Linked DNA regions of Xenopus tropicalis. The protein of the gene in region 3 purifies or fractionates together with the protein of the main gene of each other region. This does not show direct contact. Links are inferred from orthologs where the notes say so. Each region holds a gene or a part of one and is shown on either strand. Other genes may lie near its edges. The genes, in order: scfd1, rint1, use1, bnip1 and napa.

Region 1 (4,718 bases), on a different chromosome or scaffold from region 3:
GCTTAATATGAAGACCATTCTATTATACTGCTAGTTGTTTGTCTGGGTGAAACCTCGCCAGAAATACAAACAGGAAATACCTGGATCCCTTTTGATGATCCCAAATCAGTTTGAGGATACTAAATCATCATCATGTGGAAGGCCTATTATCCTCCACAATTAATACACAGGCAAAAGCAAGAAAGAAGAAGCAGCAGAATAGAATAGTGTGTAGGGACCAGCTTCAAACCAGAATCTAACTGCATGGACAGGCAGTATGAGGAAAAAGTGAAAGGCATGCAGCAACCATCAACACAAAACAAAAGCACATTATTCCTTAACACATTCTAGTCAGCTAGTCTAGACATTGGTAAACAGGGGTCCTTAAGCTTAATTGTACACTCTACTTTTAGAGCCCCATACAGGAGAATGCGCAGGACCCAGGACTGGGTAGATACAACCTATAGAGCACTAAGACATTCATGCAAAGTAAGGGAGCTCTCCACTCATCCCTGCCAGCAAAACATATATCCAATTGTCTACAGAGAAGAGCAAATCAAAATGCAGAGCAAGTGAAAACTGTAACACAACGTAGGAAGCAAGCTGCGAAATGCAAAAGGATGTCTGATTGTGGTCCTTTTGGCACCTTGCATGCTGAATCCTACATTGTAAATTATCTATTTAACAGTTATGTACCAAATGAACGTAAGCATAAATGGTTGTTTATCATGCAAAGCGCAAAAAAAGTGCTCTTTTTTATTTTGCATTTTGCACACTGCCTTTCGCTGTTACAGAGCTACCCCCACACAAAAACAAATCTGTCTGCATTTGGCATAACTGAATTTGTAAGGTGTGAGGGAGTGCCAGAGGATTGCAGGCTGTAATGGGGCCCTGTTTTTACTGCGAGTGACATTGTGGTCAGAACCTTTCAGAATGAGGGAAGAAATGCTTGCTGAATGAGCACTTGTGCCCCTTAGTGTTCTTCACTGCTTCCCCCAGTCTGTTGTAAATAAGCACTGTAGCCTTTTACAATGTTACCCATAATCTCTTACAACATAATGGTTAATATTATACAAATCACATCATCACAAGATCAAGAAGAGTTTCATATTGAATCTGATACTTTATGGCAGTATGTCAGTGGTCTTTATATTATTGTGCTTTTTCCCACCTAATTATAAAACTTTTTGTTCTGCAGTTTTCTCATTTATTAGCTGGATCTAGATGAGCATTAACTTACAAGACACTGAACTAAACTCTATTAACACCTACTTGTAATATAATATAATGCTGACTATTGCTGGGAAGTATAACTCAAAATATTACATCTATTTTTCTGTATGTATATATTCCATCAGTTAGAATTTACCTCCTTGTTTCTTGCTGTCTTGATCAGTCTCTGTCGCCTAGATGGATATGCCTAGCTTGTTATCTCCATCAGCCTCCTCTACTCCCTCCTGCTGTCTCCATCTGTCTCCCCCGCCTCCAGCTAAATATTATCTTTCTATATGCCCACAGGAATTACATATATACTTTATCCTTAACCCACGATAATGGTTTGGGCTGGATGGGCTACACAGTGCAGTTAATAATCCAAAGACAATTTTTAGTGAGACTTATGTGTCTTGTCAGGAAGTCACAAAGCAAGAACACAAAGGATTCTTTCTAAACAGCTTAATGTATTAAGCCTGTGGCACATCTGCAATGTTGAATTAATTACAAAGATGCCATACAATTCATGGAATTTGCAAATAAAGAAACAGAACCTGAAGACACGCACTGGCATGGCAGGAATTTCATGCTGCTCTTGAGTGCCCAAAGCCTGATTATTACGCTTCTGGGATTGAGCTGACATGTATACTTGACCAGACTCCCTGGGACATCAGTCATTAAATCCCAGGCAATAGTGTACTAGCCTGTCTGGCTCTGCCCACCTAATGACAAGCTTTTATGTCATGCCCACCAAAAGGAATGATAGTTAAAATGTCTCATTACATTTTTCACATACGTTCTAAAACTTCCTTGAATTTATTTATTTTTTTATGCACAGGCTTAACCCATAAGTTGCTGTCTGCATGTGCTACTAGGTAAATAGTTTTTCTATAGGGTTACATGTAACCTGAAAATGAAAACTACAGTACTAGTTTGTCTGTGTCAGTGTCCTGAGATGCACCGTGAAAGAAACCCAAGAGTTTTCTATGAAACCGAGACGATTGTTGTGCAGTTGGTTGTCAATTGTGTATGCACAGAACTGATGGCACACAAGTCTACTATGTCACCCGTGCATCATCACAGACCAGGGAGACCAGCACTACCAAGAGTGTTTGAGTGAGTCCTGGGCCATACTATAGCAGTTGTTGAATGGCAGGTTTCACTGGAACTAGCCAAGTGAGAATGAAACCATAAAATGATCAGTGGGTATGACTTTCTAGGAGAGTCTCACCTTGATATGTTCCAAGACTGCTGTAGCCACGTTGGTATGCAGATCTATTAATCTTTTCTTTTCCAGTAGCTCAGGAAGAGAGCTGAAAGTATAGAGAAGAAAAACTTCAACACGTGTTCATTCCTACCTATGCTAGGTATGCAGAACAGAAATATCATTACTTAACCCTGTCTTATGTGATTGATTTTATATGCATTCTTACCAACTCAGCATCACCATCCTTACTTACTCTCTCAATCACCATCTGAACCTTCATTTTATCATGATGCCATGAACTCCAAGCCAATATCTTTAACGATATAAGTATCTCTCATATTAACTCTGCCTTTTTGTCTACATCTTCCTAATCCATTCCTCACAGCCTTTATGTCTTCAAAATATTTATTATTGTGTCCCACCCAGTCACTGTAGCCTAGCACCACTGTACTAGCACTTCTGCACTCTTCTCAGTCTTAGCAAAGCTTATCATGCTGCCAGACACATCTACTGTTCTTATACAGGCAAGGGACCTGTTATCCAAAATGCTCAGGACCTGGCGTTTTCCAGATAAGGGGTCTTTCTATAACTTGGATCTATAGTCTACTAAAAAAAATCATTTAAACATTAATTAAACTTAATAGGATAGCTGGGATCAAGTACAAGGTACTGTTTTATTAATAATAATTCAGAGCTTTCTGGATTACAGGTTTCCAGATAATTGATCCCATATCTGTACCACCACCACCCCCTATCAATCCTCACAGCTTCCTGGTCCTCAAAATGTCAGTGCCCCATCCATCATTCTCCAGACTGTCAGCTTACTTCTTTAGCCATACTAGAAGAGACTCTCTTACCACAACCCCTTGTACTTCTTATATCCTCTAGCGCCATTCTGCCCCTTTATACCAGGTTACTATACTTAGTTTTCAACCACATGTTTAAGTAACTTCCCTTCCCTTTTCATGCTCTCTTCTTGTCCACGTTTCACTGTTATAGAGCTGTTTGAAAGTGGGCCTGAACACAGAATCTTTTTGCTCATTCTTATCCCATCATCAAAATTAAACTAAAGAGAGAAAAAAAAGCAACAGCACCCACCTGACGGCTGATGTTAGCTTTGCTGTATTGTCTGAAATCATACTGATAGCTCCTTCATCTTCTCCTTCTAAGCCCTGAGAAAACAAAACTAACCAACGTTAGCTGAGAGGTCATACTGAGCCCCCAGCCGGGCATGGTGGAAAGAAACAACGCTGCTCCTCCAGCACATTCTCTTTTGTGCAACACAGGTACCTCAGGGCTGGGGGCAGTGTGGGGGGCTTGTGGAGAGAAAGGAGTTCTTGCCTCAACTTCTGTACTAACACTGACACATTTGTGTGGATTTTCATAGGAATGTGTCCGTATTACCTTTAAACAATAGTCAGATACAACTGTAGAAGACATTAATATATTAATCCACATGGCATGAAAAGTTATATTTTTCTGCTTCCAGAGCAATCTGGCAATGACTCCATAGCAATTTAAATGCCTGCATAAACTTGCTTTCTATAATAAGGCACTACTTGAAATGTTACCCTAGTGAATATACTAATGTGCTAATTCTGAATGCAATTACACTGCAGGGGATTCATTTCCTTGAAGACTCAGGCTCACGCCAGGTTATATGTGGCTCTTTACCATGATGGTTTTCAGCCGCTTCACTTCGTCCTCCTGGGTTCGGTAAGATTCTAGCTCCTGTTGGACTGACTCTGCCACTTCTGGAAAGGGGCTATGGAAAAAGATATACAAATTATACAGCAAAAGCATGTGTTCCACTTTTAACCCTCTCATCACATACTTACCACCTGTTATTATTATACCAGTTCATTTTACACGTGCTTTACAGAACCTTGTCAGAGATTTGTTTCCCACATATTATCATAGTTATGAGTCAGGTTATGGTACCTCAGCTAAGCCCTCTTATCCCTCACACTCAATGATAAGCCACCACAGACATCCCAAGTAGCAGCGCAGCAAAAGTGTTATAGATAAATTGCAATTGATTCTGCTTGTGTGTTGGGACAGTTGCTCTAACCCTGGGAGTAATATCTAAAATCCCTACCATAAACCAACACAGGGCTGGTAATTGGTGTTTCCTTTACCTGTGATTTTAATGATTACATTTGCTTTGCTGTCACAAGGTTAAAGACATGGCAATGACCAAACCTCACCCTACTTGTTGCTTGCAGAAAATGATCATCTTTATGCAATGTTATACAATGTACAGAAAGATTACAAGTTACTGTCTAATTTAAAGTACCAGTAACATTAAAAAGTTTAAATG
Region 2 (4,718 bases), on a different chromosome or scaffold from region 3:
CCCCTGCAGTGTTCACACCTCAGGCTCAGGCTGTAATTACCCCCATTGTTCCCCTGTTCACACCTCAGGAGCAGTAGGCACACACAGGCAGGGTAGGGTAGGCAGAGTATGGCACACAGGCAGGGTAGGGCAAGCAGAGTATGGCACACAGGCAGGGTAGGGCAGGCAGAGTATGGCACACACAGGCAGGGTAGGGAAGGCAGGGTATGGCACACACAAAGGCAGGGTAGGGTAGGCAGAGTATGGCACACAGGCAGGGTAGGGCAGGCAGAGTATGGCACACAGGCAGGGTAGGGCAGGCAGAGTATGGCAGGTTTTTGCTGTACTACAACCATTAATATGGGTATGGTCATGTGATAACATGGGTGTGGTTTCAAGTGGGTGCGGTTTCAAAAAGGGGAGTGGTCAAAACTGGCATCCATTATCGGCCCTCCACCACGTAGGTCGGAAAAATTCCGGCCCTCGGTACAACAGAAGTTGGACAGCACTGCTCTAGGCAATAAACATATCACTTTTGTTAGCTAAATAAAAAAGGTTCTTGTGTACATAACCTGCTTAATCTAGAATTTGATTTAATAAACTTAATACAAATTATGCACTAATCAGTGCCAAAACCACAGGATTAATTACAGTGTGTTTGCAGAACTAAAAAAACAAATTCTTACCTTGCTTAAGACATTGGTTTGTTTGTTGCCTGTAAAATGATAGCGGAACCTCTTCTGCAGAGGGGAAAGCATGATCTGTATGGGAAGCATTATAGGAGGTAGTGCAGGAAGGGAGTATTTCTCTGGCATCTCTTTAGGTTTTGTAATTAATTCATCGCTAGGTATCAGTATTAAGAATTTAACAGTGATTGCTGGTAACAAATTATCACAGGGAAAATATATACTAAAGATACACACAAGTTTTCAGTCTTTGGAGTATTGTTTTAGATCTTTCAAATAGGGCCCATTACCAACATGAGGAAAAGGTGCAGAATGCTTATATGCAATTTCTTTGCCCTCTCTGCATGAAGCTCAAGGAAATTGAACCCTGATGTTACATCTGATTAGGTGAGGCAAGAAGTACAGGACTTGGCTGCTTTGCACTCCCCTTCTTCATATTCTCTACAATGGTGCAAGACACAAGAACTATCTTTATTGTGTGCTGATGGAGCAGTTTTGACATAGCAATTGTGTCTGTTAGTAAATGAGCCCTAATATGTTTTCAAAAGTTTAATACCCACAGAAACAAAGCAACAGTCAAATAACACCAATGCATTGTGTACGTGACATTCCATGCACTAAGCTACTAGGAAATGCCCTAACCTGTAAACAAAACAGGGATTGTTTGTTCATATATTGCAACATATTCACACTGACCAACTACTTCAAAGTCGTGCCGGTCTGGCCACTGCTACACTTACTTTTATCTCATTCATTAAGAATTCTGCAGCTTCAATATACATTTAACAAAGGAACTGAGTGTCATCTTCAACTTGCTTGCATTCAAGGTTAAAGTCCCCAAATGGTATTAAATGTTCTATATATAGTGAATAAAGTACCCCTTACTGTAAAATATGAGGATATAATAAGTCAAAGAGGTTGTGGAACTCCGAGGTGACTTCTAATTTCCTCATATTTTACAATAGGGGGTACTTTATAGAAAGTACATCACAAAGCACTGTTTATATAATAAGTAAAGTACCCACAATTGTGAAATATAGGGATATTATAAGTCACCATGGCCTTTGGCCTCGTGCTTTTATCTGGTCATGGAACTCCAACGTCACTTCTAATACCCTCATATTTTACAATAGGGGGTACTTTATTATAATGTACAAGTTTCAGTGAGTCTTATAACAGAAATGACTTCACTAAGCTCCGATTATAACTGATGATATCACTAAGCACCACTTATAAAGGATATAATTTACAGTTTGGTCCCATAGGGAAATGACCAAACTGTATATTATAAGGATATAATTTACAGGATATGCAGGCCTCGTTTATTATATATTGAAAATAGGTAAGTGCAGAGGACCTCTTGTTTCTGTCTATATTTTGTAATCACAGCCTCATTGCACCCCTGCCTAATGGGTTAAAATTTAGTGGTGAGCACAGCTTCCCCTCTTTTGCTATAGTGTAATTGACAAACATGTTGCTTTAGGCAACATCCTACATTTTGAGGAGCAGATTTTTGTCTTTAATAAATACAGTTCTGTGCCATGTGAACAGCATTGCTGTGTAGCAAAGTTTCTCAATCTTTTTTCAATAATTCCTGCTGGCTATGAACCCAGACACTTCAGGATTTCCAAGCAAGTGTGACTGATGTTTGAGTGTGCATTTTCTCTAGGACTGGAACACTCTAATCTTCATCAAATATATTAGCTGCAAAGTGTTTTAATATCAGTCACTCCATTACCTTTCTTGCCTACAATCAAATTGGAATTTGTTATTCTCTCTCTCTCTTGTTGGTACATCTTTTTGAGTATAAAAGTATTATAAATTACTAAATAAAAAGTTTAGCGATCAGAGTAGTTTCTATCATTTGGCAAGGATACGAAGTTTGAAGTTTGAGAAGTTGAGAAAAGAGAGTCTCAAGATTAGTGTAGATCTCTGCTACAGTGGCCGACACAGGAGGAGCAGAGGCTGATGATAGAAGAGGACCAATGAAAGGCCAGTGCAAATTATTTAACACTTCTTCAAAGTCGCTGAAGAAATAAATATAAATACCTTGTTTAAACACAGTAAAAAGTCCCATTATAGTATTACTTTATAAAGTTTTTCCCCTACCTTGTCAGTTTATCTTTCAGAATTTTATGCCAAAACTGAACTGTAGACTTTATAAAGGTCAATAAATGGGAACAAGAGGATTCCTGAAGCTTTATGGCCAATTCTGCCATACATACCAGTGTGCTGGCAGCCTCCGCAACATCATTCGTCATGAGATGCTGCTGGATGTTATCACTAAGAAATACAATCAAATAATAAGAATTACCTACTTAAATAAGCAAAGCCCGTATTATTTAAGGCTAGTTTTTAACGGCACTGCTACAGTAGCATTTTTGATACCTGAGTTCTTCTATTTGTGAGATCCATTTCAGGTAGGAAAGGTATCGTTCAACCTCTTCCATTTGATTGATCAGTACCCCTAGATCATCCATCCATGGTGCAGCTTCTTCAAGGTGCACACTAATGGATTCTGTCACTACAATTTCTTTTTGGAGTAGAAGATCAAGAGAAGTCTTTGAATCTTCAGCATTCTTTAAAGCTGCCTGGATTCGTTTAGGAGCCTCAGAGGAAACAGTAAGAACCTGGAATTAAAAACAAACAAAAAAAAAAAGTTTTTACAAAAGAAGGACTATGCCATATGAATGTGAACACTTTTGGGTATGGAGACAGTGATAGAGACATGGAGACACTTCATGGATAGAGCTATGCATTTTAACAAACCCTCTGCATTCCAAAGACTTGCTTAAATGTAAACTGAAGACTGCTGAGAATTACATCTAAAACCCTGAAGTAATTTTAAGTGAGCTCCTACACTGTAATAAAATGAGGGCGCTACCATTTCCCGGAGATGCTTTAGTTATTGCCAGTGCAAAAATAGCACTGTTACTATGCAGTTTTGCAAGGATTTTTTTTGAAAGGAAACCAAAAACAACGCCTTGAAAATATATGTATTAACCTGTGATGAGCTCCAGATGGCCTTATTTATGAGGTGATGTTGTGTTACCCTTAGCAATTATACATATTAATCAAGGATGAGTTGCTGAAATGATGAGAAGCATTTGCCGTCACAGGTTGCAATGATAATGTGCAACGCAAAGGAGATCTGCCTGGAAGAAAGCGGCACTTGCATTAAGGGAAGGACGTGAGCATGAAAAGTGACATCCTGCTCTGCACATTCTGGAAGTGATGGGGGAAGTAACGCTGAAGATTGGCACGTCAAATTTTGGACTTTCTGGAGGGTATATATTACTAACACTTTGTCAATGTAAGTTGCCTGCACCTTTTGCATGTTTCCCTGACGAAGACCCCTCGTTGTAAGGGCCGAAATGTGTTGGGTATTTCTATGTGTGGCATTAATAAATGATAAAAAAAAGGTTTATTTAAGAGTGCCCTGTTTTTTGCATTTGTGCAGCTTAATACTGCAAGGAAAACTATGGTTGGAAAAGGAATAATTTTTAAAAGACAAGATTGACATAAAGGGCTGATTCCATGTTCTAATCCTCTGAAAGATCAATACTTTGGGTGCAGGTTGGAAAGCAGCTTTTGATGGTCAGGTGCATGTTAGAAGAGACCTGCTAATTACTAGTAGGAAGGTTTTGTCACTACTTGATGGGATGACACCCCAAATCACACCACATGCCCTCTCATCAACTTTTTACTTCTAACTGCAGCCAATGCCCTTTAATCTTTAGGGCTGTTCTTGAGGTAAGAGATCACATCATCATCCTTAACAGGACTTAAAAATATAACCTGCTGTACTTACTTGCTCCTCCAAATGTTTCTTCTCTTCTTTAATGGTTTCTATGAGGTTTGAAACGTTTTTCAGAGACTTGAAATCATTTCCTATCTCCTTTTCTACAAATTCACACACATACAATGGAATCTCACATGTGTCCAAATCCACCAGTCCACAGATGTCACTCGGGTTCTTGTGGTCACTTTGATTGGAAGTGCCGGACTCTCTTCCAGTCTCCAAAGAAGCCATAATTGACCTGGGGAACAAGA
Region 3 (3,885 bases):
GCACAAAAGGGTGATATAAGTAAAAGTCATCACTGGTGTTAAAAAGCACATGAGAGTGCACATTGTGAAGTAATAACAGTATTACACTATATTTTTTTTTCTTTTCCTCATAAGACCTCATGCTAAGTCTAAAGCAGAATTTTATTGAACTGCAACAACAGGAACAGAATTAGAAACTGTATTTAACTGTGCTTGGTGCCCGTCTGCCTTTCTCCACCAGGCTCTTCTTTTCTTTTCTCTCTCTTTTCTTTTTATCTTATCTTTTCTTATTGTAATGAATGTCTATTTAAAAATCTTAAATAAAAACTTAAAAATATATATATTTTTTAAGAGCGGGGAGAATAGGGCCCCTGCTATTTAGCCCTAAATACATACCTATTGTGCTTACCCCAAGTTCTGAGCCTGAATATCTTTACAATCATTTTCCCAGCATAAGATACAATTTTTGACAGGGGGCAGTGGCATGTGGCCATTCCCTGGTATGCTCCCCTAGCTTACACATCATTCACTTTGCTGAAATTGGAAAGTGTCAGGGGACACAAGGTGCTGGGTGTCTGCCTATGGCATGCAGAAGGTTTAGGCCATGTTTCTGGAAGTGACTCATGTTAATCAGAAAATGTATAAGTGAAACATCAACCCCTTTTCTCGGATTTTACACTATGTTTTCCTGGTCCCCTAAAAAAGTTAAAATGGGGGTTCGGCTGTAGATACAATTCAGTTGTATGCAATTGTAACCATAATATTTACATAACCCTGTAGATATGATTATGGCATCCTGCGACTCCTAACTTTCACACTCAGTTTAGAAGTGCATATTACCAAAGGTCCTGAATTGCAGAAGAACAGTTTCCCATAGCAACTAATTGACAATTAATTAACTACCAATGAGGAAATGAAAACATAGATTTTATTAGTTGCCATAACAACTGCACTGGCACAGTTTAGCATCTATCCTAGTAAATTCGCCCTAGCTTTTTCCTTAGGTGAATAGATATTAGAGATACTGACCCAACTGACTTTGTCCTACGGTGAAAAAACAAAGCTTCTCTAAAATGTGGGATTAGCAAAGATGACAAAAAGTACAAAGAGCTCTGTAAGAACTGTGTTTGCTTTATTAAAATGTATGTTTACTTTCTGTTTCAATTGCTTTTTCAGACCTCATTGAAAAATCTTCAATTTTGAAAAGGAGCTGTCTTTACAAGAGAGGCATTTGCCTCTGCATAAAGGTGACCCTGTCAATGGTGTGTGCATGCTGTCTGTGATATCATCCCGAATATTGTAGCAGGCAAACAAGTGAACACATTAGGAACTGTGATTCACTGTTACACTTACTTTTTAGAGCACTCACAAGCAAAACATGTGGGATTTCAATATTCACATCCTGTGAGCCCTGTAGGTATCCTTCTCAACTTCAGTAAAACTGCCTGGCACTGTGAAAACAGCAAGTGCTGTAAAGCTGTCTTCAAAGGCAGCATCCAAGGAACTTATGTTTGCCTGCCAACACCTTTCTAAGGAGGCGGTAATCATTATGATAAATGCCTTTCTACAAAGTAAATATTAAACAGTTGCATTTTATTTAATAAATACTGTGGTTTCTATGAAGTTCATAACGTAGTTCAATACAGAGGAACCAATGCTTGGATCTGATAGCTTATTAATTAAGCTATATTGCTTTTGGCATAAACAAAGAGAGTGAAATGGAATGTTTTGTAAATAAGCTAAGGACAAGTTTCCTGAAATTTAAGATAAGGTCATATGGTTTTTATTTTCCTGTGGCATCACTTGCCAATACTGACAATGAAAGTTTCTCTATGACACACCTGTATAACTGGCATCTGAAAGCAGGCGCCCAGTTTTTAGATGACCTTAGGCTGAGGTGGCACTCTTTCTGCCATTCCATTTTCCACTATGAAAATAGTGGTACTATCTGCAGTAGTAAACGCAATGCAAATTCCTTTTGGAAATTTGTTGCTTGTGTCTTGAGCAATGTACTATGAATGCTGCTTAGCTTTAACTGTCACCGCAACCTGGGAAATATTCTGATAAAAAGAATCATGCTAATAAAAGTGAAGCAGACAAAGATGAGCATAATCCAGAGAATCCAGTTGACAGACTTCTTGGCATGCTGCTCCAGGCGGTCTGATTCTGTCTTTAGCTTTTCAAAGTTCTGGTCAGCCAACTTGATAGAATGAGACAGTGTCTACATAGGAGAGGGAATGAGTGAGAAAGAGATGTGAGAATCACAATGAAACAAGTGAGCAACAAACAAAGTGGCAAAAGTCAAGGTAGTCAAACATTGGTTTCATTTTGGTTATTCATCTAATCAGACCAGAGGTCAAGTGTGGAATATTATGGCACATTTACCTCTGCAAGCGCAATGTGCAACTTGCCCTTTTTTCTCTGCAGTGATTAGTGCCCAAAACCACTTTCATTAAAGGTACTTGCATCAAAATATGCTCCTTGCACTTTCGTGCTCAGTGGCGCTCAGTTATTCCTGCCTTCCATTCTGAACAGGGCACTGCTGTGCCTAGTTACTTAGAAGAACCCTGGAGTTAACACCACCTTCTGACTAGGCGGTGGCTCCAGGGTTCCATAAGTGGCCTTTGCTAGGTAAGTGAATGTGCCCTATCGTATGAATTGGTCATGTATTTGGATATCCTTATTGCATTGCTCCAATGGATCTCAAGAAAACTGAAAGTAGGTTTTTACCCATGCCCACACCCATTTTACCGATGATAGTAAACCCCTCCATCCCAAACCCACATTGACTCGTCTAACTGTTATCAGCTAAGCAGACTGCATGGCATCCCAAATCATCCCTTCTTTGGGTGTTCAGTTCTGTGCTTCTACTGACATATTAAACTTACCAATTGTGTTTTCATCTGCTAATTTAAACTGGTAGACACTGTAGATCAGCCCACATAATATATGTATGTATGTATATCTTTATTTATAAAGCTCTACTTATGTACACAGTGCTGTACAGTAGAATAGATTAATACAAACAGGGGGTTATTAAAATAAAAGATAAAAACAAAGTATAACAATAAATACAAGTAAATACAAGATACAGTTGCAATAAGTTAAGAGTCAAAGAGACAAGAGGATGGAGGTCCCTGCCTCATAGAGCTTACAATCTAGATGGGAGGGAACATAAGCAAACTTTACATACTAAATGACATTTGTCGTTTACCATTATAATGTTTAGGGAAATATTTCAGCAGTGTAGAAAATATGCGATTCAATACATAGACTGATCTCTGAACTAACAAGTAAATTGTGACCTATTATGACACACATACACATTTTACTATCAAAAACTACATTATTTGGGGCTTTGCTAAAAATAAGAATAATGATGCAACAACTACCTCTCATGAAGGAGACACAAGGTAAGACTGAGTAAAAGGCAGGAAGTGAGCGCTATTTGAAGGATATTGTTTTATGAGGAATGACACGCAGTATCAAGTATTGGATTACCTGTGTAAGTGTGGGTTCCTGATAACACCATAACACAGTTGGCTTTACTAATGCCTGATGAATGCAGGCAAAATAAGAGTTCTGGAGTCTGGTCTTATTGTTCATATGTACCTGGTTATCCTGTTTAATAACATTCTGCGCTGCCAGTGTGTTGTTCTTTAGGTTTTGGGTGAGACGTAGCATTTCCTCGGCCAGTTTCTCTTGTAGATTATGATGATGCTGTAGCACTGCATCAAGCTCAGCCGCAGATTGCTTGTCATCTGAAACAGAGCCTCTGTTTGGGAGAAAAGAATGTTACTGTTGTACATGGGGTGAGGATAACAGAAGACAAATCAAACCTAGGCCAAAATAGGTATCCTTTGGTTCTTTCATCCACCACCAGCTGCATAGATAGTAAAGCATTTG
Region 4 (5,384 bases), on a different chromosome or scaffold from region 3:
CTCCCTAGTGTCAAAAAGGTCCGACGCGTTGGACACGCCCCTGCCTTAAAGACTCTACCTCTACGTATTCCTTTACAGAATTATTTGCTAACACTGACCCTGGATGGGTAGCTTTCTTTCACCTGCTGCAGCACCACCTTCGCAGTGCTCCTAGGTAAGTGATGCCCTGGATTGGCACAGGTACAATAAACAGTCCAACAGAGACAAAACAGCACAGGCATTTGCCCCCTCCCACACTTAATAGACTCTGGAATGTGATGCCAAGCCAAGGGCAGCAAGTCACTAAAAAGTCATAATCATAAAATGCACTATGTTTGCCCAGGATCAGTAACTCATAGCAACCAATCAGCAGGTAGATGCACTGGTCAGCTGTTTAAAAGCAAACATCTTATTGGTTGCTATAGGTTACTGCTACAGGAAAAAAGTTGTGCCTTTTAATACATATGTGGGTATGAACACTGTTATAGGAATAGTTCAGTGTAAAAATTAAACTGGGAAAAATAGACTGTGCAAAATATAAAATATTTCCAATATAATTAGGCAAAAATGTAATCTATAAAGGCTGGAGTAAGCATATGTCTAACATAATAGCCAGAACCTGACTTCCTGCTTTCAGCTGTCTAACCTCTTAGTTAGTCAGTGACTTTAGGGGGGCCCACATAGGACATAACTGTTCAGTTAGTTTGTGAGCAGGCAGGTCAGATTCAAATGCAAATTAACTGAACAGTTATGTCCTATATGGCCCACTCAGGTCACTGATTGGTTATTGATTGCTAACAGCTTAGAGCTGTTCTGGCTATTATGTTAGACATCTGCCCACTCCATTTTCATTTTTACACTGAACTGTTCCTTTAAGATAGTCACAAGGAAAATTATAGACTAACCAGGCAATTATTTTAAACAAAGGAGCACCGGGGGAAGAGGAAAAGGTAAAGTACTGCATGGCAGGGCAGAAGCGATAAGAGGTGGGTTGGGAACCATACAAAATAACCCCAACATTATTTAATTTACTTGTGCCAAGAATAACTTTCTTCAGTTTTAGAATAATACAGCAGTGAATCATCAAGCAGCATTTACTTTTCTGGTCTTTAAAATTAATTATCTGATTGGTTACTAGGGGTATTTTTGTAATGAAAAAATGCAGAAAGTTGGCCAGTCATGTTTGTGCCCAGATGTGCAGCTTTCAGCCCCAGAAACATCCCTCTCAAAAGGGAGTAAAATAGATGATAGGTTCGGGACAGGTAATATTCTGAGCCCCAGATGTTGCAGAAAAACAACCACCAAAATTCTGTCCTCCCTTATCTGAACCACTGGTGGGAGCTGAGGGTTGTAACTATAGATCACTGAAGTACCATGGGCTCATGCAAAGCCTCCTATAGTTCTCCTTTCCACAGCCACATACTGCTGCCCTTACTGTACTGTACCCTTTCCACTCATACCCCGAAATATCTATTATTTTTATTATTAACAAGCATTTATAAAGCTCCAACATATTCTGTGTTTATGTACAGCAAAAAAGGGTCTCTAATGTCATTCAGCAGGAAACCCCATAGTCCAGTCTAAGCCTGTTTACATTTGAAGTTGACTGTTCACTTGCTTTAAGGGTGAAGACACACAGAGCTACTTAGTAGCAGCTAATTGTCACAGCTACTAAACGCCAGAAAATACCCTGACATAGACAATACTGAGAATTACCTCTGCCACATAGAGACAATTAACAGTAAATGATCAGCATTGTCTATTTCTGTAGCCGTGACAAGTAGCTGCTACTAGTAGCTCAGTGTGTCTTCACCCTAACACCCCTTTGAACTGAGCAGAACGTTTCTTATTGTGTGCGTTTTCCCAAAAGCACCTCTAGATGTCTCTGTGCCCCCTCATCGCTGTCCATACGAGCAAAGAAATTACCTCTCCATACAGCAGATGGCGCAAAGGTTTATTTTTGTCTTAGTCAGAGTCATCGGTGCATGGTATTTTGTCCCATTCCGCGCACCGTTGTTAAGCCTGTCGCGATGGCAGATTCGCAGGATGTCCACGTCCGAATTTGTCACCAGGAAATCGTTAAATATGACCTGGAGATCAAAGCGCTGATCCAGGTAACGCAGTGGGGTGCTGAAGGGGTGATCGCCATTAATAATACTGACTTTCTACATGCAGGAGGCAGTAGGGAATTCAGCTTACCATTAAGGGTCCGAGTTTGTAATATTCCCTATGCAACGCCACCTAGCGGCAGGCCGAGCTTACGTACCAGTTCCGAAGACTCCAAACTCAATGGTTTATGTTTGAATGCGGACTGGTGTAGCGTTACCGGCATGTACTGATAGTTCCCTACGGTCACAGCCTACTGTATGGTTTGGTTAACAGAGCCTGGCAGTTTTATTTTCCTAAATTATTACATGGGCTTCCTGCTACATGTTCCATGTACTGCACCCTAACAGTTATGTAGGTATAATACATTTAACTGGCTGATAACTGAAATAGCTATAATGCTTTCCCAGCTAATGAGCAGTGCTGCTATCAGTACTCATAGGCTCTATACTACTGAGTTAGCAGGGGGCCTCAAGTTTAACCCTCAAGTTTAACCCTTCTGTCATCTGGGCCATTATGAACCAGAATTAACACTGACATTAGTTGTTACCAGTGGCATAAAATAAGGTCAGGCTTCCAAGCAAAAGACTTTTCCGGGCCCTCACATGTTGGGGTGAGAGCCACTTACACCCTCGGCCACATAGTGACCACCACCTTCGCCTCCATGCTTGCAGAGCCAGAAGTAGCTGTAACCATACAGCAGGCCATCTGGATATCTGTATGCTAGTTAGCCAGTGAATGTTAGTATATCTTAACCAAAATGTCAAAATATCAGCACCCAGTAATCAAGTCTTTGTCACCAGTAATATCTTTGTATAGAATAACTTCCTAAAGCTGATACCTCAAGAGAACTGAATCCAAGTGATTTTGGTCACACTTATGGCACACCAAGCCTGGGATTCAAAATAGGCCCTGGCACTTCAAGTACACAATGTCCCAAACAGTGTCTGTCTATGGCTTCTTACAGCAGCCCCTCTGGCATTTGCCAGAATCCACAGATTGCCAATCTGGGCTTTTTGCACACCCAACCACAATTTATTATGCCTTGACTACACCCACTTACAACCCAACTTTATCCTTGGCTGGAGGCTGGTGGTTACTACCAGCATATTAACTGTCATTTTTTAATGACGTTTGCTAGGCATCTCATGTGCCACTATGTCATTTCAGTTTGGGAACAGCACAGCAGATGGTACTTTCTCATTGGATCCTTATCCCCCTAGCTCTTCTGTATTGTATGTAGACGTTTTAAAATGATTTGTCTTTTATAGGACATCAGAGAATGCCCTGGTCCTCTAAGCACCCTAAATGATTTCAATGCTCAAGTCAAGGAAAAATTCCACCTGCTGAGGCTGAGAATACAGGTACATTGTGTAATTTAGTAAAGACATTGCATTTTTGAGGGAAAAACTGGCTAGGTAATTAGAAATTCTTAACCACAAGAGAGGTTGATAATAAGTAATTGGGGCCTCTGCCCTATGATTAAACTATATTTTAAAACATTAAAAGTCCATTTACTGCCTATAACAGGGATCCCCAACCTTTTTTACCCGTGAGACACACTCAAATGTAAAAAGAATTGGCAACACAAGCATGAAAAATGTTCCTGGGGTGCCAAATAATGGCTATAATAGGCTATTTGGTAGCCCCTATGTGGACTGGCAGCCTACAGAGGCTTTGTTTGGCATTATATTGGGTTTTTATGCAACCCAAACTTGCTACCAAGCCAGGAATTTAAAAATAAGCCCTTGCTTTGAGGCCACTGGGAGCAACATCCAATTGTTTGGGGAGCAACATGTTGCTCATGAACCACTGTTTGGGAATCACTGGCCCATAATATTGGGAGCCCTCAAAGCAAAGCATATTATTCGCTCAGAGTTTTTTTCTAAGCACTTTTGCAAAGTACATTTTTTCTACTTTCTCAGTTATTAGAAGTTATTTGAAGTGCTGATTATTTTAGGCCAATGGGCTAAAAGTGGCTAAAAATGAATTTCCTGAGAAAAGAAACATTTTAAGGTGTTGCTCTCCCTAGAACTGATCACAGAAACACCAGAGACTCCACTTTCTAAGCAGAGCATCATTACAAAATGTTTCTTATCTCAGGCAATTCATTTTTAGCCAACAGTAGCCAGTCACAGTAGCCAGCCAGCTGAAATATCCAGCAGGTGGCGCTGTTGTTTCAAATATGTTATATTAGCCCAGTGATCCCCAACCAGTGGCTCGGGGGCAACATGTTGCTCCCCAACCCCTTGGATGTTGCTCTCAGTGCCCCCAAACCAGGTAGTTATTTTTGAATTCCTGACTTGGGGGCAAGTTTTGGTTGAATAAAAACAAGATTTCCTACCAAATAAAGCCCCTGTAAGCTGATAGACTGCATAGAGGCTCCCTAATAGCCAATCACAGCCCTTATTTGGCACCTCCGTTAACTTTTATGGTGCTTGTGTTGCTCTCCAAGTCTTTTTACATTCGACTGTGGCTCATGAGTAAGATAGGTTGGGGATCCCTGTATTAGCCATTTCAAAACAGCTAATCTCTTTAAAACTAAAATAAAAATAATTAAAAGTAGTTCTAAGAGTACTTTGCACAATTTTATAGTCATTTGTCTTGATGGATTACAGTACTTGTTTACTTGCTTGGATTTACAAAAAAAAAAAAACATTTTTGCATGAATCATTGCTCATCACCAAAAGTGATCACCTTTAAAGTCATCCAGGTAATAGTTTTCTAAACCTATAATTGGTGATATACTTCTTTGTTATTTTGGAAAAGGATTTTGAACAGTTGGCTAAGGAGCAGGATAAGGAATCTGACAAGCAAGCATTGCTGAAGGAGATGGAGTGCCACAAGAAACAGATGTTAAGGTGTGTATGGTCTGCTGCTTACATCTTGAGCTGTGCGAAAAATGGCCCCATAGCTTAATAAATAAATGTTATATAAAACAGGTGAAGAACTTTTCTTGCTTGCCTCTCAATATGTTTACAACACAAGGTTAATCAATATTGCTCTGTAGTTGTCCTACAAAGCTGTCCTGCAGTTGCTCATACATGTTTTGGCTGAGACATACTCTCTCTCTGCTTTCCCATTAGCCCACATGTTGCTGGGTGAATTCTAAGCTCCCCAAGGGAATTGTTGGTCAGTGACCAGTACTACACACAGTTCTACTTTAGTGAAAGGTGGCTTTGTGGTATTTTGCTGTGCTAATTAAGGCTGGGAATCTTTGTCAGAGACCCAACATCATGGGGAACAACCCCATGCCTACCTTCAGCACCTTGACCATGTTGTGCTGACTCTGAACTTTG
Region 5 (5,343 bases), on a different chromosome or scaffold from region 3:
TCAGCCTGGGTGTAGGTGCATGCGGCCGACACAATGGTTCCGGGTGTAGGCAAGGCAGGAGACTGTTGACAGGAGGGCCTTTTTCCACAAGCTGAGAATCAGCCCTGTGTGGCATCAGCCTAAAAGCAGGCAGACAAAACTGATGACCCAGAGGAACAATAAAAGATCTAGGACAAAGTTCCCTGTAAGCCAAGCACTTATTCGCACACACAAATATTGAGGTCACTGCATGGACAAACATTGTTCACTTAGTTTTACACTTATTTGAACCCTCCCATATCTCTGTGCAACCAGCATTTTAAGAGACCATAAAGGATAATTGTCGTGAAAGAGGGAGAGAGAGAGAGCATATGAAGAAATGGAAGAAGAGAAAGATTATATCTGAGAGAGAAAATAACTCACCTTCTCTATGTCAACCAGCTCTGACTCGTAGATCTCTGCTATGGAAATGTGATGTTTGGCGGCAATGGTGAATCTTCCCTACATGAAAAAAAACACAAGGTTTTTTTTTTTTTTTTTTTGATTGTTTTTTTATGCTCTTATTAAGCATTTGAAAAGTACATGGTGCAACATCATAAAAAAAACCAGATGAATAGGATGCTCATTTTACAATAAACCTAAACATAAACAAGAAAATTCAACATAAAACCCAACAACAAACATCAAATCTTTGAGGACCGCCTATGCAGGGGATACAGGGGAATGGCTCCCTCCACCATAGCTTCTCATGCTGCCACAGTTGGCCCACCAGGTGTCTTTAAGAATTGTGCAATTTTTCTGTGGGTTTTTTTTTTTTTTTTTTTGCATACATACATAAAATGGACATTTACATTTTTTTTTTCTCTATGAGGGGGGACAGCTCTTGAACCTGACTGAGCATATACCAGATATCCATTCTACCGGGTATATATTTTGCCACTTCCTCCCAGAAGTGCTGCACACAGGCCACAACAGCTGGATAAAGTCAGATGGTGAAAAACGACATCTGGGGCACTCTTGTGGGAGCTCCTGGTTTAATATTTGTAACGGTGGGGTGTATCCCTAATTACAGCATCAAAGGTTGACTCCAACACCTCCTCCCACAGTTCAAGTGTAATGTGGGGGAGATCCTGTTGCCACCTGGCATAGAGTTTGTTCAGAAGGGTACTGCCTGCCCTCACTTTTGCATTATTGATGTCTGCCTACTATTTCATGTTCAGAACATCCTCCAATTTATTTTTAGAGCTTTATCCTACAATTTCAGTCTGAATGTTAGTTTTAGATCGTTGCATTTAAACGTATGATCGATATCCGAACATTCATTAGAAGAGCATTTTTTTTGTTCCCTGCTACTTTCTGACTAAAAAAAAACCCACTTGTTTCCATAACAATTCTATTGCCCATTTCCCAAACACATATGTATCATTCTCTACAAACTGCATTTAAACACACCTTGATCCTTAGTCAACAAATATCTTACTAAACATCTTGCGTTCTTTTAGCCATATTCGCATTGTCACTCTGTTTGTGGTCAACTTAAGAAGTGATAAAGACCAAAAAAAAGCGGAAGATAGTTTGAAATTGTCCTTACCATGTCAGTGTAGATCTCTATTGCTCGAAGCAGACAGTTAATTGCCTCTGAAAACAATATAGATACTTGTGATCATTTATCAAAGTTATTATTGAAAAAGTTAAGCATTGCTTTATGTATTCTTGCAGAAAAGCCTTTATTTCATTTAATAAAATACCTCTAATAAAATAAGGCCTAAAATCACCTGGCATTTCATATTCAAGATGAATATATAAGAATATATTCATGTGCCTGGCTGTGCATGGCATTCTCTGGTCAAGACAATATCAGATCAGCTTGAAATGTGCCTGTTTGCATTTGGCGACCAGTGCTAGGATTGCTTTGATAGTAAAAAAATGCTGCAAATCACACCGGTCTATTTTGTCTATTATTAACAGTTACAGGTGAGGAGCACTGTATTCAGGAGCATCAAGACGGGGGAGGAGGGGGGTCTCTGCATTTTATTCTTCTTGGAGCTATCATTGTGGGGGTATTGCCACAATAGACAAAAAACACTTTTGTGCAAAACACTTATTTACACTTAGTTATTACAACAACCCACATTTCTGTGCACATAACTGATATAAATATGTTATCTTTGTGCATATGACCGAAAACAAATCAAAGGGGAACACTGGGTGCTGGTACAAACAGTTATTGATAGATAACTTTGAAAAAAAAAAAGACTCATTCAAGAGACAACTAGGACCTCTCTTACCCTGGGGGTCAGATTTCTTGAATGCATTTCCAGCATCCACAAAGTTAGTGGCTGCATCATGCTTGCTTTGAACCTGAAGATGGATCTGGGCAGCCTGGCAGAAGGCATTGCCAGCAGCTGGGAAAAAGAAGAAGAGCATCTTATTGCACTATTCCGAGGAGTATAAATATCTATATACCTATATATGGATATATGGAAAGTTTGTTACAAATGATTTTACAGATTACATACTACCTACCACTCCAGTTCTTGGCCATCTTAAACATGTTGGCAGCCCTGGCATAGAGGTCGCATGCTTCTTCCATTTTAGAGGAGCCTCTTAAATGCAGACAAACAGACAAAGATTACACACTATTCAAGTTATAAGATTAACAAAATGTAAAATGCTTTGTGTAGTGACAGCTACAGCGTTGTAAATGCTTAATATTACTAACACTAGTGACAGTTCAATGCTTTTGGTCAGAAACAGATTTTGCCCTGTTACCATGTAATTATTTCTAATTCACTTACCCAAACAGCCCTGAAAAGAATGACTGCGATGACTTCACCTTCTTGTCAGCCTCAGCCAGAAGCTGCAGAGCCTCCTTCTCCTTCCCAGAGTTATCCATGGTTGAATGGGGCCTGTCAATGATAATAACAATCAGAAAATATGGAAAATAGATGCCAATATAAATTATAAAAAAGAAAATATCTATAAATTCAGAAAAATTCCCCGGTATTAGATCAGAGACCATAGAATCAGCCATTGTAACATGGGCCTGGAATTACATTTTAGGAAAGTAGTTAATCTATTAAAGTTTTTCTATTACCGCAAGATGTTAGCCGATTCAGAGCGCTAACCAGAACTAGGAGGCAGGCAGCCAAGAAAAAGCTCTGCAAATGAGTGAAAGGCCTCGTAGAAAGCCGACGAGCTAGTAATACGAGGATACTCGCGGATAGAGACAAACAGGAGGCAGAGGCCAGGGATCAAAAACCCTTGAACCGAGAGACGGCCGAGGGAGATAATCGGGAATCAGAGAGCAGAAGAATAGGGCAAGCAGAAGGGAAAGAATTGTAACAGTGTGCGGGACGCTGACCTGATTTTGCAGGCAAATAATGACTGCGCTTAGTATTTCTCCGGATCAGCAGCTATGCTTCAGTGACAGCAAAACTTCCGCCCGCAGAACACATGATTATTCTGTTTCCGCCAATATCCGTGCCACGTGACCAAACGTTAGCATTCACATCCGCCTAGACACAGTCAGAAGATGTAGTTAGGCTTTTTCTGAGCGGCATTTAAAGGGAAAGATGTGTACTCCTTTTTAAAAATAATACAGACTGTAGTGCGTTGTTTTCTATTACATTATCATTTTTTTACATATGATCTTTTTTATGTTTTAGTTGTCCTTATCTTCGTGTAGTGTTGCATTTCATATTAAAAAAAACAGTGGTCTTCCGGGTTTGTTTGTTTTTAGCTTTTTGCCTCGCTATTGGCAATGTTTGGAACGAGGCATCATTTTTACTACCCTGGCGTTAACATTATTAGTAAGGGGGCAGCCTTTGTTCTGATTCAGCTAATACTGCTTATTACAGTAACTCCATGTTACCATTCTCTGCTCTCTAAGCATAAATGCGGTAGAGGTTAAAGGTCCAGGAAACAGTTTTTTTTGCTTATTGGTGCACCACCAACTATATACTTTACTAATGACCTGAAGGCCAAGTTAAGGAAAGGCAGTAAAGAATAACCCAAACTGCTTAACGTGCCTGGCAATGAGTTTAATATAAACTGCTCATACCTCCCAACATTTGAAAATGAAAAAGAGGGACAAAATATTTTGCAGCGCTAAGCGCGGCGAAATTTTTCTTGACCACGCCCACTATATGGCCACACCCCCAGATGTCCCATTTTTGCACATTGTCCCGCTGTCCCAGATACTTACTGAAATGTCCTGCTGTGTCTTTTAAGTGTCCTGCTCGTCTTCAGGTCTTTTTGTCTTCCTTTGGGTTTCCTTGGCTCCTTCTGTCACTGCTGTCTTTGGATCTTCACAGCTTCTTCCTGCACTTTTTTATTTGTTGTGGGTGCTGGTGCTGCTCAGGTCGTGGGTCACAAAAGTTACGCTGGTGCTGCTGTGCCTTTATCTACTACTGTACAAGCTCTACTTACTGCTCCTTTTTTAAAAAAAATAAGCTTGGTGAGTCCCTGACTGTAACAAGTGTTTATTAATTCTTAATAAATAATTAATATTCATTATTAATAAACACCTTTGTTACAGTCAGGGACTCACCAAGCTTATTTTTTTTAAAAAAGGAGCAGTAAGTAGAGCTTGTATAGTAGTAGATAAAGGCACAGCAGCACCAGCGTAACTTTTGTGACCCACAGCCTGAGCAGCACTAGCACCCATCCTGTTCGTTCTGAATTTTAAGTGAAATGGCTTGCTCAGCCATACTCACATCTCGCGAGACTTGCAGACAACCACAAAAAGGACCGAGATGGCGAAGCACCTGAAGGAGCCGGAAAGAGCCGAAGACAAACGCGCGGAAGAAGCCGTGAAGATCCGTAGATAGCGGTGACGGAATGAGCCGAGAAGACCTGCAGACGAGCGGGACTCTTAAAGGCACCGCGGGACATTTTGATAAGTATCCGGGACAGTAGGCAAAAACCAGGACTGTCCCGCGTAAAGCGGGACAGTTGGGACCTATGACTGCCTACCAATGGCATTGGTGGTTTTTCTCTCAAGAATGCAAACTTGAACATTCCAGTCAAGTACATTGAAGAATTTACACCTGCCTCAATGAGAATTATCGTGACTGGATCACATTTTTGCATCTGAATAGTTCGATGGATGTTGGTGACTGTATTTCCATTAAGAGTTTAAATGCCAGGTAATTCCCTACCTGTCGGCTGAAATTAAGAAGCCACTTGGTTGAGTGGTGAAACGTTTATAAGAGTACTCAGAAGTTGCTTTAGACTTATTTCTTCCAGATACTGTGTATCATGGCCTTCTATTGTGGTCAACCCCCTGCTTTTTAAACAGAAGCAGCCATTTAAAAATGCTATGGGAAAATAAGTCGTTCATCCATCCCGGTTTTTTTTCTG

Evidence for each region.
Region 1: the proteins of use1 (region 3) and scfd1 purify together in Homo sapiens (affinity purification with mass spectrometry; 3 studies listed by BioGRID and IntAct, counting the BioPlex papers as one, with this or other methods). This does not show direct contact. The link is inferred for Xenopus tropicalis from reciprocal best matches to the Homo sapiens genes USE1 and SCFD1.
Region 2: the proteins of use1 (region 3) and rint1 purify together in Homo sapiens (co-immunoprecipitation; 3 studies listed by BioGRID and IntAct, counting the BioPlex papers as one, with this or other methods). This does not show direct contact. The link is inferred for Xenopus tropicalis from reciprocal best matches to the Homo sapiens genes USE1 and RINT1.
Region 4: the proteins of use1 (region 3) and bnip1 purify together in Homo sapiens (co-immunoprecipitation; 4 studies listed by BioGRID and IntAct, counting the BioPlex papers as one, with this or other methods). This does not show direct contact. The link is inferred for Xenopus tropicalis from reciprocal best matches to the Homo sapiens genes USE1 and BNIP1.
Region 5: the proteins of use1 (region 3) and napa purify together in Homo sapiens (affinity purification with mass spectrometry; 3 studies listed by BioGRID and IntAct, counting the BioPlex papers as one, with this or other methods). This does not show direct contact. The link is inferred for Xenopus tropicalis from reciprocal best matches to the Homo sapiens genes USE1 and NAPA.

The regions. Positions count from the first base shown.
Region 1 is NC_030684.2:113,061,003-113,065,720, reverse strand, and holds part of scfd1 (sec1 family domain-containing protein 1), read right to left. Parts: intron 4,164-4,718; coding exon 4,073-4,163; intron 3,571-4,072; coding exon 3,497-3,570; intron 2,505-3,496; coding exon 2,423-2,504; intron 1-2,422. UniProt on the Homo sapiens protein: Plays a role in SNARE-pin assembly and Golgi-to-ER retrograde transport via its interaction with COG4. Involved in vesicular transport between the endoplasmic reticulum and the Golgi.
Region 2 is NC_030679.2:77,089,333-77,094,050, forward strand, and holds part of rint1 (RAD50-interacting protein 1), read right to left. Parts: intron 4,706-4,718; 5' UTR 4,699-4,705; coding exon 4,477-4,698; intron 3,296-4,476; coding exon 3,054-3,295; intron 2,949-3,053; coding exon 2,775-2,948; intron 2,693-2,774; coding exon 2,543-2,692; intron 823-2,542; coding exon 666-822; intron 1-665. UniProt on the Homo sapiens protein: Involved in regulation of membrane traffic between the Golgi and the endoplasmic reticulum (ER); the function is proposed to depend on its association in the NRZ complex which is believed to play a role in SNARE assembly at the ER.
Region 3 is NC_030677.2:111,879,334-111,883,218, forward strand, and holds the end of use1 (vesicle transport protein USE1), read right to left. Parts: intron 3,755-3,885; coding exon 3,592-3,754; intron 2,201-3,591; coding exon 2,018-2,200; 3' UTR 1,091-2,017; downstream 1-1,090.
Region 4 is NC_030679.2:43,443,726-43,449,109, reverse strand, and holds the start of bnip1 (vesicle transport protein SEC20), read left to right. Parts: upstream 1-1,979; 5' UTR 1,980-2,009; coding exon 2,010-2,093; intron 2,094-2,172; exon of another isoform or gene 2,173-2,409; coding exon of another isoform or gene 2,410-2,439; intron 2,440-3,356; coding exon 3,357-3,449; intron 3,450-4,854; coding exon 4,855-4,946; intron 4,947-5,384. UniProt on the Homo sapiens protein: As part of a SNARE complex may be involved in endoplasmic reticulum membranes fusion and be required for the maintenance of endoplasmic reticulum organization. Also plays a role in apoptosis.
Region 5 is NC_030684.2:79,896,561-79,901,903, reverse strand, and holds the start of napa (alpha-soluble NSF attachment protein), read right to left. Parts: upstream 3,367-5,343; 5' UTR 3,344-3,366; intron 3,334-3,343; exon of another isoform or gene 3,077-3,333; intron 2,889-3,076; 5' UTR 2,876-2,888; coding exon 2,778-2,875; intron 2,586-2,777; coding exon 2,506-2,585; intron 2,385-2,505; coding exon 2,268-2,384; intron 1,618-2,267; coding exon 1,571-1,617; intron 481-1,570; coding exon 403-480; intron 1-402. UniProt on the Homo sapiens protein: Required for vesicular transport between the endoplasmic reticulum and the Golgi apparatus. Together with GNA12 promotes CDH5 localization to plasma membrane.